2 linked regions of the Drosophila melanogaster genome follow. The protein of the gene in region 2 interacts with the protein of the main gene of each other region in a biochemical or structural test. Each region holds a gene or a part of one and is shown on either strand. Other genes may lie near its edges.

Region 1 (4,918 bases), on a different chromosome or scaffold from region 2:
ATAGCAGGTTGTAATTAAGGCGCCCGCATAAACAATGCGACCTGGTGATAAGACGAAATGTTGAACCTTCGGCTGCTGTGAATGATGTGAATGGGCCAAGAGTGCAGATATCAACGGCAGCGGTGCGACAGCTGCAGCGGCTCAAATGAATGCTAAATGAATCAGCAGGCCGGAAGCCCATTCACACAGCCAAAAGCCGTGGAAAGGAAGCCTCAGCTTGATTCTGTGGATGTGGATGCTCTATGTGTGCGGCAGGGAGAATGGGGACATAAAAAGATGGAGGAAGCGCAGCAGATGAGGTCAGGATATGGCAGACAGGCCATAAAATATCAGGCCCAGATTCGATTACATCGCCATGCCATTAGGGAGCCCCAGGCAGTGCACTTTGCTGGGCAAACATATCCAGATATATACTGCCATACTGCCAGATGTATGTAGATGCGGAGAGCGGGAGACGGATTGCACTTCTAGCTGCATACTTGGGGGACCTGGAGCTGAAGCTGAAACTGGAAGCCACTACGATTGTTGTCCGTCCGGAGGCCATCTTATCAGGCTATCTGCTCCGGGGGCCTCCACCCCAAAACAAACATGTTGAATAGCTTCCGAAAAAACGAGAGGCGTCCCCGGAGAAAGCCGGAGAGAGAACTCACCACACTGGGAGGCTAGTGCGCAAATGCGTGCCATCTCACCAGCGCACTTCCCTTTCTCCTCTCGCCTTTCTCCGTTCCTCTGGCTGCTTTCTCCATTCGCTCCCGCTCACAACAATAGCGTCATCGTAAAATATTTGCCGTATTTTGTTGTTACCACTGCCCCAATATATGGATTGGCGGCGTTTTCTTCGCCCGCACACACACTGACTCTCACAACAGACACACACAGACACTGACTCAGACCACATGTAAAATAAGGTTGAAATTTGAAATCAATAAAAGTTATTCGGCTGATCTAAAATTAGAGCAAGCAACTCAAATAACAGCCGAAAGAAGTAAATAATAAAGGCAAACACCGCATCATTGACACGCAAAGGAGGTGATTGGGCCGGCCCCCAAAAAAGCTGAACAAAAAACTGACAAATCATGCGAGCAAATCGAATGCGTCGAGCCTGCCCCACAAGGCACCATCCACATATCTAATTATAAGTTTTCAAATTGCTTGCCAATCTCCGGATGATTGATTGATTGAACGGGGCGTATGGGTAATGCATGGAGAACAGACTAAAATTACTCGCTAAACTAAGTTACTCGACTACGTTCTAGGACTGCAACTAGGTCTAGATAATCGGGGATCGTATTTTATATTCAGCTGGACATATTCATCGGTAAAATCACAAGAAAGAAATCACAACAGATACGTACAGGAGATAAAGAAGTTACACAGAGAGAACAAAGGCAGGCACAAAAACAGATTACTTATAACTGATTACGATTAAATTATGGCGGCTCCTGTTACACAAGGCATACGCACAAATCAGAAATCAATATCGCTTATGGTTCACATCACAAATTGAAGTTTTTGCCGTGTTTCTTTGGTTGTGTGTGCGTTTATGTGTGTGTATCTCAGTGTCAGTGTGGGTGTCGTTACGTATACGTAATACGGTTAAATAGCTCACCCGCTTTGCTTAGGCGATGAATTTTGAATGATTTTCCTTAACGAACTGCGGGCGAATGAAAAACTGGCTAAGCTAGCTGCTGCTCCTGCTACTGCACCTCCTCGTTCGTTTAATCCTCTTGCTCCTGCTCCTGCTCCTGCTGCTGCTCCTCGACTTCCGCTTCCGGTTTTCAGAGCCCGCACACACTGACGCACTCGCGCTGCAACTACATGTGTGTGTGGGCGATTTGTTGCTCGTCTTTATGGCCGTTGCCAATGCAATGGTGCTGGTGACTGCGATTGTGATTGTGTTTGTGGTTGTTGTCAGGCGGCTCAATGGGCATTTCCGGTTCCGGTCGGCTAGCTGCTTGCACTAATTTAGTTGATGACACTGGCTTAGTTAGTTTGTTGACTTTCGTGGCGTGCGCTCGCTGGCTAATTGCATTTTGTGTTTATGATTTAAACGGCTTTTGTTTTATGTACATGGCTGTGTGGGAGGATAATTAAACCGCGTGAGTTTCCAGCTAAACTAATTAAAGTCTTCATTCACTGAGTGGGTTTTTTTGTGTTTCATTTATTTTTCCAAGTGGTTTGGTGGCTTCGTGCCCAACGAGGATATTTTTTACACTCGTTCCCGCTGACACACATTCGAGCCCAACACACACACACACACACACACACAGGCACAGCAAACACAGCGATACGGAGAGATAGGGAGTTGAAGAGTGCTCCGCAAAATGGAGTGGAGAGTGTTCTACGCACGAGTTACGCTCACGAACAACGTAAGGTTCGACGTAACGAAAGGGGATTGTGGGGGGAGTGGCGTGTGGCGAGGGGCGAGGGGCGGTGGAGCTGAGCGGGTGGTTTGGGTGGCTCAACATTATGCTGGCACCCCACCTTCCGTCACTTCATTCGCTCGGCTCTAGGCTCTGTTATACAGCTTATAGCTTTTCAAACTTAATGTCTCTTTGTAGGCGTATGCGTATGTGTGTGTGTGTGTGTGTGAGTGCGGTTTTGTGGGTGTGCGAATGCGAGTGTGTGTGTATAACTCGCATGGCTTATATGTAGGTTGAAGCAATTTATAATAATTTTTTTTTGCTTTCGCCCCAATCGATAGGCAGCGTTTAGTGGGACAGATGACTCCTTTTGATTGACAGTGTGTGTTTGTACGTTGGTCTTTCACACTGATATACTATACACAAATGCACATTTGTATATATATATACGTATAAAGGGTGTGTGTGAAATGGTTCCTTGAGTTTGTCACACGATTTTGAGCGCTATAGGCGGCTTTTTGGCCAGCTCGATTTGCTTTTAACTCGCTTTTTTCGCACTTTTTGCAGGAAATCACTTTTCTGTATCCAGGGAGCAGCCTCTAGCGCTAGTGCTGCCATTCACGCACACTCACTCACTCGCACACATACACACACACTAACGGGGACTTTATGCATTTGATCGAAGCACTTTTCGCCAGTCAATGGAATTTTCTCGCGCTATTCTTTCACTTTTCTCCGCTGCGAATGCAATTAAGTTGGACTTTTCTTGGCCTTATACATTTCTCGGCCAGATACATATACTGCGCGTGTGTGTATGTGTGTGTGCATGCGGGAGTGTATTGGTATTCGTGTCTATGTGTGTTCCTAACCCAAAAATGTATTGTGCGGCAGCTGAGGTGGCCCGTTTTCGGCAACGCCGTTGTCCAACTAACTACCCTCAAAGAACTGAGCACGGCTCGTGCAAGCCAGTTGCTAATATAGTCGCCGATTCGCTGGCAAGTGGTGAGTTTTCCAACTTTTCCTTACCGACCACCCTCTGCTTTCCTCCTGGCCTAGGCATAGGGAGAGCTAGCCGGAGAGCGCGCGATTGCAATCAATGAATTTTCCTTTCGGCGCTCGCGCAGTTCAGTGAGTGCTGGCATCTCGAGCTGCCAGCTTAATGGATTCCGGAATTCCAATACCAAAATATGGAGCCAGCGCATTGCGTTACGCTAAACGAATGTGGGTCTTACGTATTGCTCCACATTCAGCGTTGGCAATGCTGCGCGCCAACTATTCAAACCGCCCTCAAAATTAGACTATGAACTCGTTGGTTTTAGGAACAGTTTTCTATAAGAACAGATTATAGATTCTTAAAGATTTGGATTTCATTATTTTGGAAACTATTTTTAAGGAATAAGAAATCTGAAACAGCAGACTGAATGTATCAGCTCACCTAGATTAGCTTTTTTGCAGAAGGTTCTTTTCTAAGAAAACTTAAATACTTATTTGAATTATACGAACTTAATAATAAGACAGTATTCGTTGGGGATGTTAACTTGTTACGTTTATTCTGGAATGTGTCTGTATGGTGGCGCGGTGCGTATCTGCGGTTGTAATACATTTCTCATAATACTTAATCAACGCATTTCCTATGACATAGCCCTAGTTCTAGCGATATGCTCCCGCTACCCGTCTATTTACAGGTGAACTCCTCGTAGCTCTCGTCGCACTCGTCACACTTGACCTCGCAGCACCAGCGGAATTGGCAGCGGCACTGCGTGGTCCTTCGAATGTGCTGCGTGTTGTGGCCACGCCCACAGCAGAGCAGATCGCAGCTCTGGGGGCCGTGGCCGGTCCGCTGGCAGGTCCGACCTGAGGTGCCCTGGCTGCCCGTCTGCAGACTTCGCTCGCAGTAGTTGGGCGACGCCTCCAGGTAGATCAGCTCCATGCGCTTCGGCCAATCGAGGACCGGTTTCTGGGCACGAGCGGTGCCGGCATGCTTCTTTCTGCAAGAAATTAAAAGTGGAAAGAGGTATGTGTTAATATGTGGGATCGAAAATGTGTTGATATTATACCGTGCTACAGAAGGCACAGCAAACATATTGCATTTAAAAAGGACTTAATGACTACTATGTGTTTTATTCTTTTTAGAAGAATACTTATTTAGCCATTAGATTATTGCCTACATATCATGCAACATCTTGCAAGATTCCCATTTCTCACCTGCTTAATACTAATCTCAGTCCACGTTTGCCTTTGACGGCTTGAACAGTTTTGGCTTTTTGATACTTCAGCATGAGTCTATCGCCAACCAGTCGAAAGGGCGGCAGGCTCTTCCAGCAGGTCTTCATCACGCAGGAGCCACTGACGCCATGGCACTTGCAGTCCGTGCGCAGCATCTTCTTGACCAGCTGATAAGAGAAAAACATAACTATTAACTAGGCCATATTTATTATTAAATTTTATGCATGCGCACCGTTCTCCCTGCTCGGTTATTGTGCAGGTTCATCAGCGTGCGGGAGTCGCGCTCCAATTCGCGGGCATCCATGAATCTGCGCGCATACCGCATCCCA
Region 2 (4,907 bases):
GGTCATGGACTGCACTACACCAGGAAAGAGTCCACCAAATGAGCACACACTCATGCGGGGCCATGCCCGTCAACATCATCGTCATCATCGAGTGCTTCGAGATTTCTTAGGCATCTTGCCAAATTTTCCCTCGCCCGTGCAGAGGGGTGTTCGACAGGCAGGATTTCGAATACCTCGAATTCCAAAAGGTTTCGAAACCACTTCGAAAGGTAGTTTCGAGCGATTAGGTGCGATTGAAAAATTCCTCGCAATGCAACTGCAGTTCCGTCCGCCGCCTGCACAATATGCAAATGTGTGAGTTCGTATTGGGACTAACCGGCCTTATTGATTTTGCAGCCCCGTTCCCAACTTGAGTCAGCCGTTGATCCTTATGGAGCCATGGCGATTTCTTTAGAAGGAAAAGCTTGCTGACATCTTGAGTCACCCTATTTCTGACACACGAACGCGCTCTACTCGGCGTACATAACAACACCACCACCAAACCCCCCCCCCCCCCGCACAACACAATAAAATTATTATTTATAGACGCCGAAAGAAGCGAATGAAAACAATAAGTCGGCTAGAAAATCAGTGCGAATACAGAGCAGCCAGAGGCAGTAAAACGTCATCGTTTTGCTCGATTGCAGTGAGTTTGTGTTATTGCGGGGATGCGCTGGGGGTTGGAGGTTGGTGATTGGGTTGGGGGTGCTCATTGGTTAGCCACTGGCGTCACGTGGTGCCTACTTGCGGTTAGGGCAATTTAAAAACGTAAACAAACCGAGCGGACTGAATGGAAGAACTCATGCGGGGGGATCGATGTAGGATTATGGGACGCAGGAGGTAAAGTTTGCTTGGTACCACTGTCGAAAAAACTGGACCACATAAGTAAGTATGTAGTGTGTGGAATCACATCCCATTCGGGATAAGCACACTGTGTGGCGAAGGGTATCGAACTAATGGGTTGCGTCAACAATGAGGCCCACTGTGCCCGCACAGTGGGAACGCGAATAGTGAGGCCATCCCCGAACGGCTCACATATTGGAGCAGCTCGTTACGGTTCGATAAATTTATTTCCTGCCTGTGAGAGACACGTGGAATACACGCGGCGTATACTTTATGTTCATATTTTATCCGCATGAGAGTGATGGGAAAGAAAACTGGAAAAAAGCTTACTTTACTAAGTCGAAGCTGGTATGCCCTTTAATATTATTTCATTAATTGTCAATTTATATTTTTATTTACATTACAGGCTTATACTGTGTCACTCAGAAATGGAACCTAATACCATTTTGTCAATACAAATTAAATGCATTTGGTCGAGTTACTTCGTTACTCAGTTGAGAGATTGAGTTGAGATATCTTAACAGAAAAGCGTTAAAGAGACGTCGCTTTCCAATGAGCAGTATTAGTTAACGTTTCTAGTAGTCCGTCATGAACACGTCTTGAAATAAACGTGTGGTCGAACTTTATACAAAATTACGGACGGACGGACACGCCCAGCTCTATTTGTTAAAAGATCCTGATCTTCTGATCATGTCTCAGTGTCAGTTCATGTCAAGAACATTTTTTTTGAAGATGAAGTGTTCAAGTGATCATGAAGTGATCGAAGGAAGTTTATCTTATAATATTGGCAAATATGGTATTTGTAGCCGAAAATAGAAATATATACTAAATTCTTATATTAATTTTATAGCACAATAAAAATGTTTTACCAAATAGGGACAACGATATCGATGAAGTACTTACAGACTGACGAATGGGCCGCGCAGTGCCGGCATATCCCGCCGTCGGTTGAGCGGCGGCGACAGCGACAGCGAGAGGAAGTCCTGCTGGGCCTTGTCCTCGTCGACGATGCTGGTCGGGGTGCTGTAGATGCGCGTAGTTGGCAGATAGCCAATCTGCTGCAGAAAGTCGTCGCGGTAGGAGAGCTTGGTGGTGGACTGAGAGGAGGTCAGCGGCAGGGACAGCGGGGATCCATAGAGCGGAGCCAGTGGCAGGGCCGCTGTCATCGAGGCCAGCGACAGAGGCTGCTGGTAGAGTCCTCCTGCACCGCTGCCAGATCCCGGTCCCGATCCCACACCGGAACCTGATCCCGCAGCTGTGCCGTTCCCATGGTGGTGTAGGTGGAGGTGGTGCGGCGTGGTGGCCGCAGGCTGAGTACCGTGAAAATGCGGATAGGGAATGCCGTGGGTGTAGGCTGGAGCGCGCGACAAGTACGGCGTATTGATGATCTTGTCGTCGAAGCTGCGACGGAAACTAAAGCCCTTCAGTGAGTTGCTGTAGTTTCGGTGAGAAAGCGGCGAGCTGCCCAGGTCAATGCTGGCCGCCGGGCCCAGGATCCCGGCAGTTAGACCGCATCCTGAGGAGGCGGTAACGCCGCTGGCCGTCGCCGTGGCGCTACCCAGCATACTCAGCGCAGGTGAGGTGCGCAGCTGAGGGCTGCCGCCCACTCCTCCGCCTGCACCGGAGGCCGTGGTGGTCGAGGTGGAGAGTGGCGGCGAGATGGCACTCAAAGTGGAGATGCCGCTGTCACTACTACATATGCCGGCCGGCAGTGACGTGTGGGTGGGCGAGATGAGGTGTGGGTGGTGGTGTTTGCCATTTGCGGCACCGATGAGGCCGGCCATGCCGCTACTGGGCAGTACGGGAGCCAGGATGCCTCCCGGGATGAGTTTCCTGATCTGCGCGGGGCTGGTCCTCGCCCTGTCCTAATGAATGCTGGGAAGCTAGAAGCAGCTTCCTCGCGTCTTTGTCCTCATCGTTGGCCTGCGCCCTTTGTTCCTGGTGAGGACTTCGTATATCATTCCTTGTGCGTAGGAAAATCAATGAAGGGACGCGCTTAAAACATGCATTTTAAGCAGCGCTTTTCTCGCTTTGTAACCCAAATTGCGCATGAAAAAAGTAAGGCGAAAATCCACACACGCACGCACACACTGCCACGAACTGGTTCGCGATAGAAGAGGGTTTTTCCACGGTCTGCCCTCAATTGGGCCTATTGGATTCCCTTTCGCCTTTCTTCGATGCTTTTGGCCAGGTACGTGCCCGTAGTCTAGTTAATAGCGGAATTGATTTATCCTCGACAAATAAAGCGAACACATCACATTTTCCACTTTGTGTTTTTGGCAGAAGCAGCAGCACGGAAAAGTCTTCTTTGTCCGCACTTGGCTCGAACTCTCCGACGGTCTGCCCTCCGGGTTCTGAAGCGGAAAACTCTGCGGCGAAGTTCAGCGATTCCGGGGAGCGGGCAAAGCGCATGTGCCGGCTGTGGCCCGTTACTGTCCCAAAACAAAACAAAGCCCGAGCGGAGAGAGTGAAAGCTAACTGCAAGCAGCTGGCGTCGTCGAAAGTTCCATCCCCGAAAATCAGTTTGTTTACCATCCTGGCAGAGCTTTTCATGGGCAAAGCCGACTAGGCAATACCCTTTGTAAAACAAAGCGGTGAGTTTGTATAATAAATTTATTTCGGCTTCTTCGTGTTAGACCAGAATACAATTGAAATTTGGAAACAATTGTTAAGTTTAAATTTAGTTTACTTAGTATTTTTGCTTTGACTTGTACGAACAATAAATACACACGCAAGACCGTAAAATGTAATTATTAATAATTGAATTTTATATATGTATGCGTGTTTATACTATAGATGAGCCGGCGACTCTCGGATCCCGGCCCTAGACCCAGGCGCCCAAGGACTTTTATCCTGGCCCGGAGCTGATCGGCAATAATTGATGTCAATGATTTAGAATGGGATACTACAATATAAAAGTTAATTACTGCTGGACTAATCGCATTCATTTACATTTAAAAGCGGGTTAACAATCAAACAAAAATTAATTAGATTCAATTCAATTTTGAAACAATTTGGAATACATAAATATGTGCAATACTTTCGGGGGTTACAATTCAACTTTTGATTACTCGTATTTAATTGTTTTATATATAGAGGGGATTATTAATATCTGTTATATAATTTATATTTGCGTTAATTGGATCGCCCTTCAAAGTGTCCTCTTCTTCGTCCTCCTCTGTTTAACTGTGTGATGCTTAATTGTTTAACTCGTATTTACATTTGCATTAGAATCGGATCGGAGCAATCTGCTGGGCGCGTCGCTCGACAATTCATCCTTTTTACATAAGTAGTTCTGGCTTTAACAATTTAGTGCAAAATAACAGAAACAATCGGTGAAGAGGAGATCTCGAGAACAAATTAGCTAGACTAAGCGACGACACAAATGCCACAAACTAGATACACATATCATATACATATATATAATTACAGTGCCTCTCTTCGCGACTGAATCCCAACTCACGGGCTAAGCCGCAAGGGATCCGATCCCCAAGCAAATGTCTAGACAAACTTCCGATATACAATTTCATCAACACCGAATGGTGTTTTGGTGATTAGCATGACTGGATAGGTGGAGATGGTGGCTTCGCGGCTTGGCTATCGATTCGAGTTGTATAGTGGTACAGCTGCAAGGCTAGATGCATGGCTTGAACAATGGAATTGGTGAATCGATTGCCCGAAGTGGACCAAAATCAACCTGACTGACCGGAGGGCGGCCACGAAGTTCGATAGTTTAAAATTAGAGCTAAGTGCTACGGCTTAAAATAAATACATTGGTTTCTATGTTTACTCGCTTCAACATATCGCGCATTTTAAAAACAACACTAATAATTATGAAATAAATCTGGTTTTCTCTTCTGTTACGATTTAGGGGCTTGTGTTTTCTGTGTCTGTATCTGAATGTGTGGTGTACGCAAGCACCCGGGTCTTGACTCGCTCGCAGCACTTGACTAATATTTTTGATTAACCATATCTAGAGTGAAGAGAGGGGGAGAGAGAAGTAGACAGTGATAAGTGAAAAGAAATCAAAATGTACGCGTTGCATAAGAAACGATAAAACTAAAATCCGTCAAACTTAAGCTACA

Evidence for each region.
Region 1: of the proteins of Srpk79D (region 2) and brp, one has a biochemical effect on the other in vitro, tested with the Drosophila melanogaster proteins (one study listed by BioGRID).

Annotation. Positions count from the first base shown.
Region 1 is NT_033778.4:9,502,160-9,507,077, reverse strand, and holds the start of brp (bruchpilot), read right to left. Parts: upstream 3,314-4,918; 5' UTR 3,233-3,313; intron 2,075-3,232; 5' UTR 1,610-2,074; intron 1-1,609. Other genes in the region: Wnt2 (Wnt oncogene analog 2), read right to left, coding at 4,039-4,351, 4,569-4,756, 4,822-4,918.
Region 2 is NT_037436.4:22,272,257-22,277,163, reverse strand, and holds the start of Srpk79D (Serine-arginine protein kinase at 79D), read right to left. Parts: upstream 3,180-4,907; 5' UTR 2,607-3,179; coding exon 1,726-2,606; exon of another isoform or gene 1,673-1,725; intron 1,619-1,672; exon of another isoform or gene 1,448-1,618; intron 1-1,447. Other genes in the region: Csp (cysteine string protein), read right to left, coding at 4,773-4,795.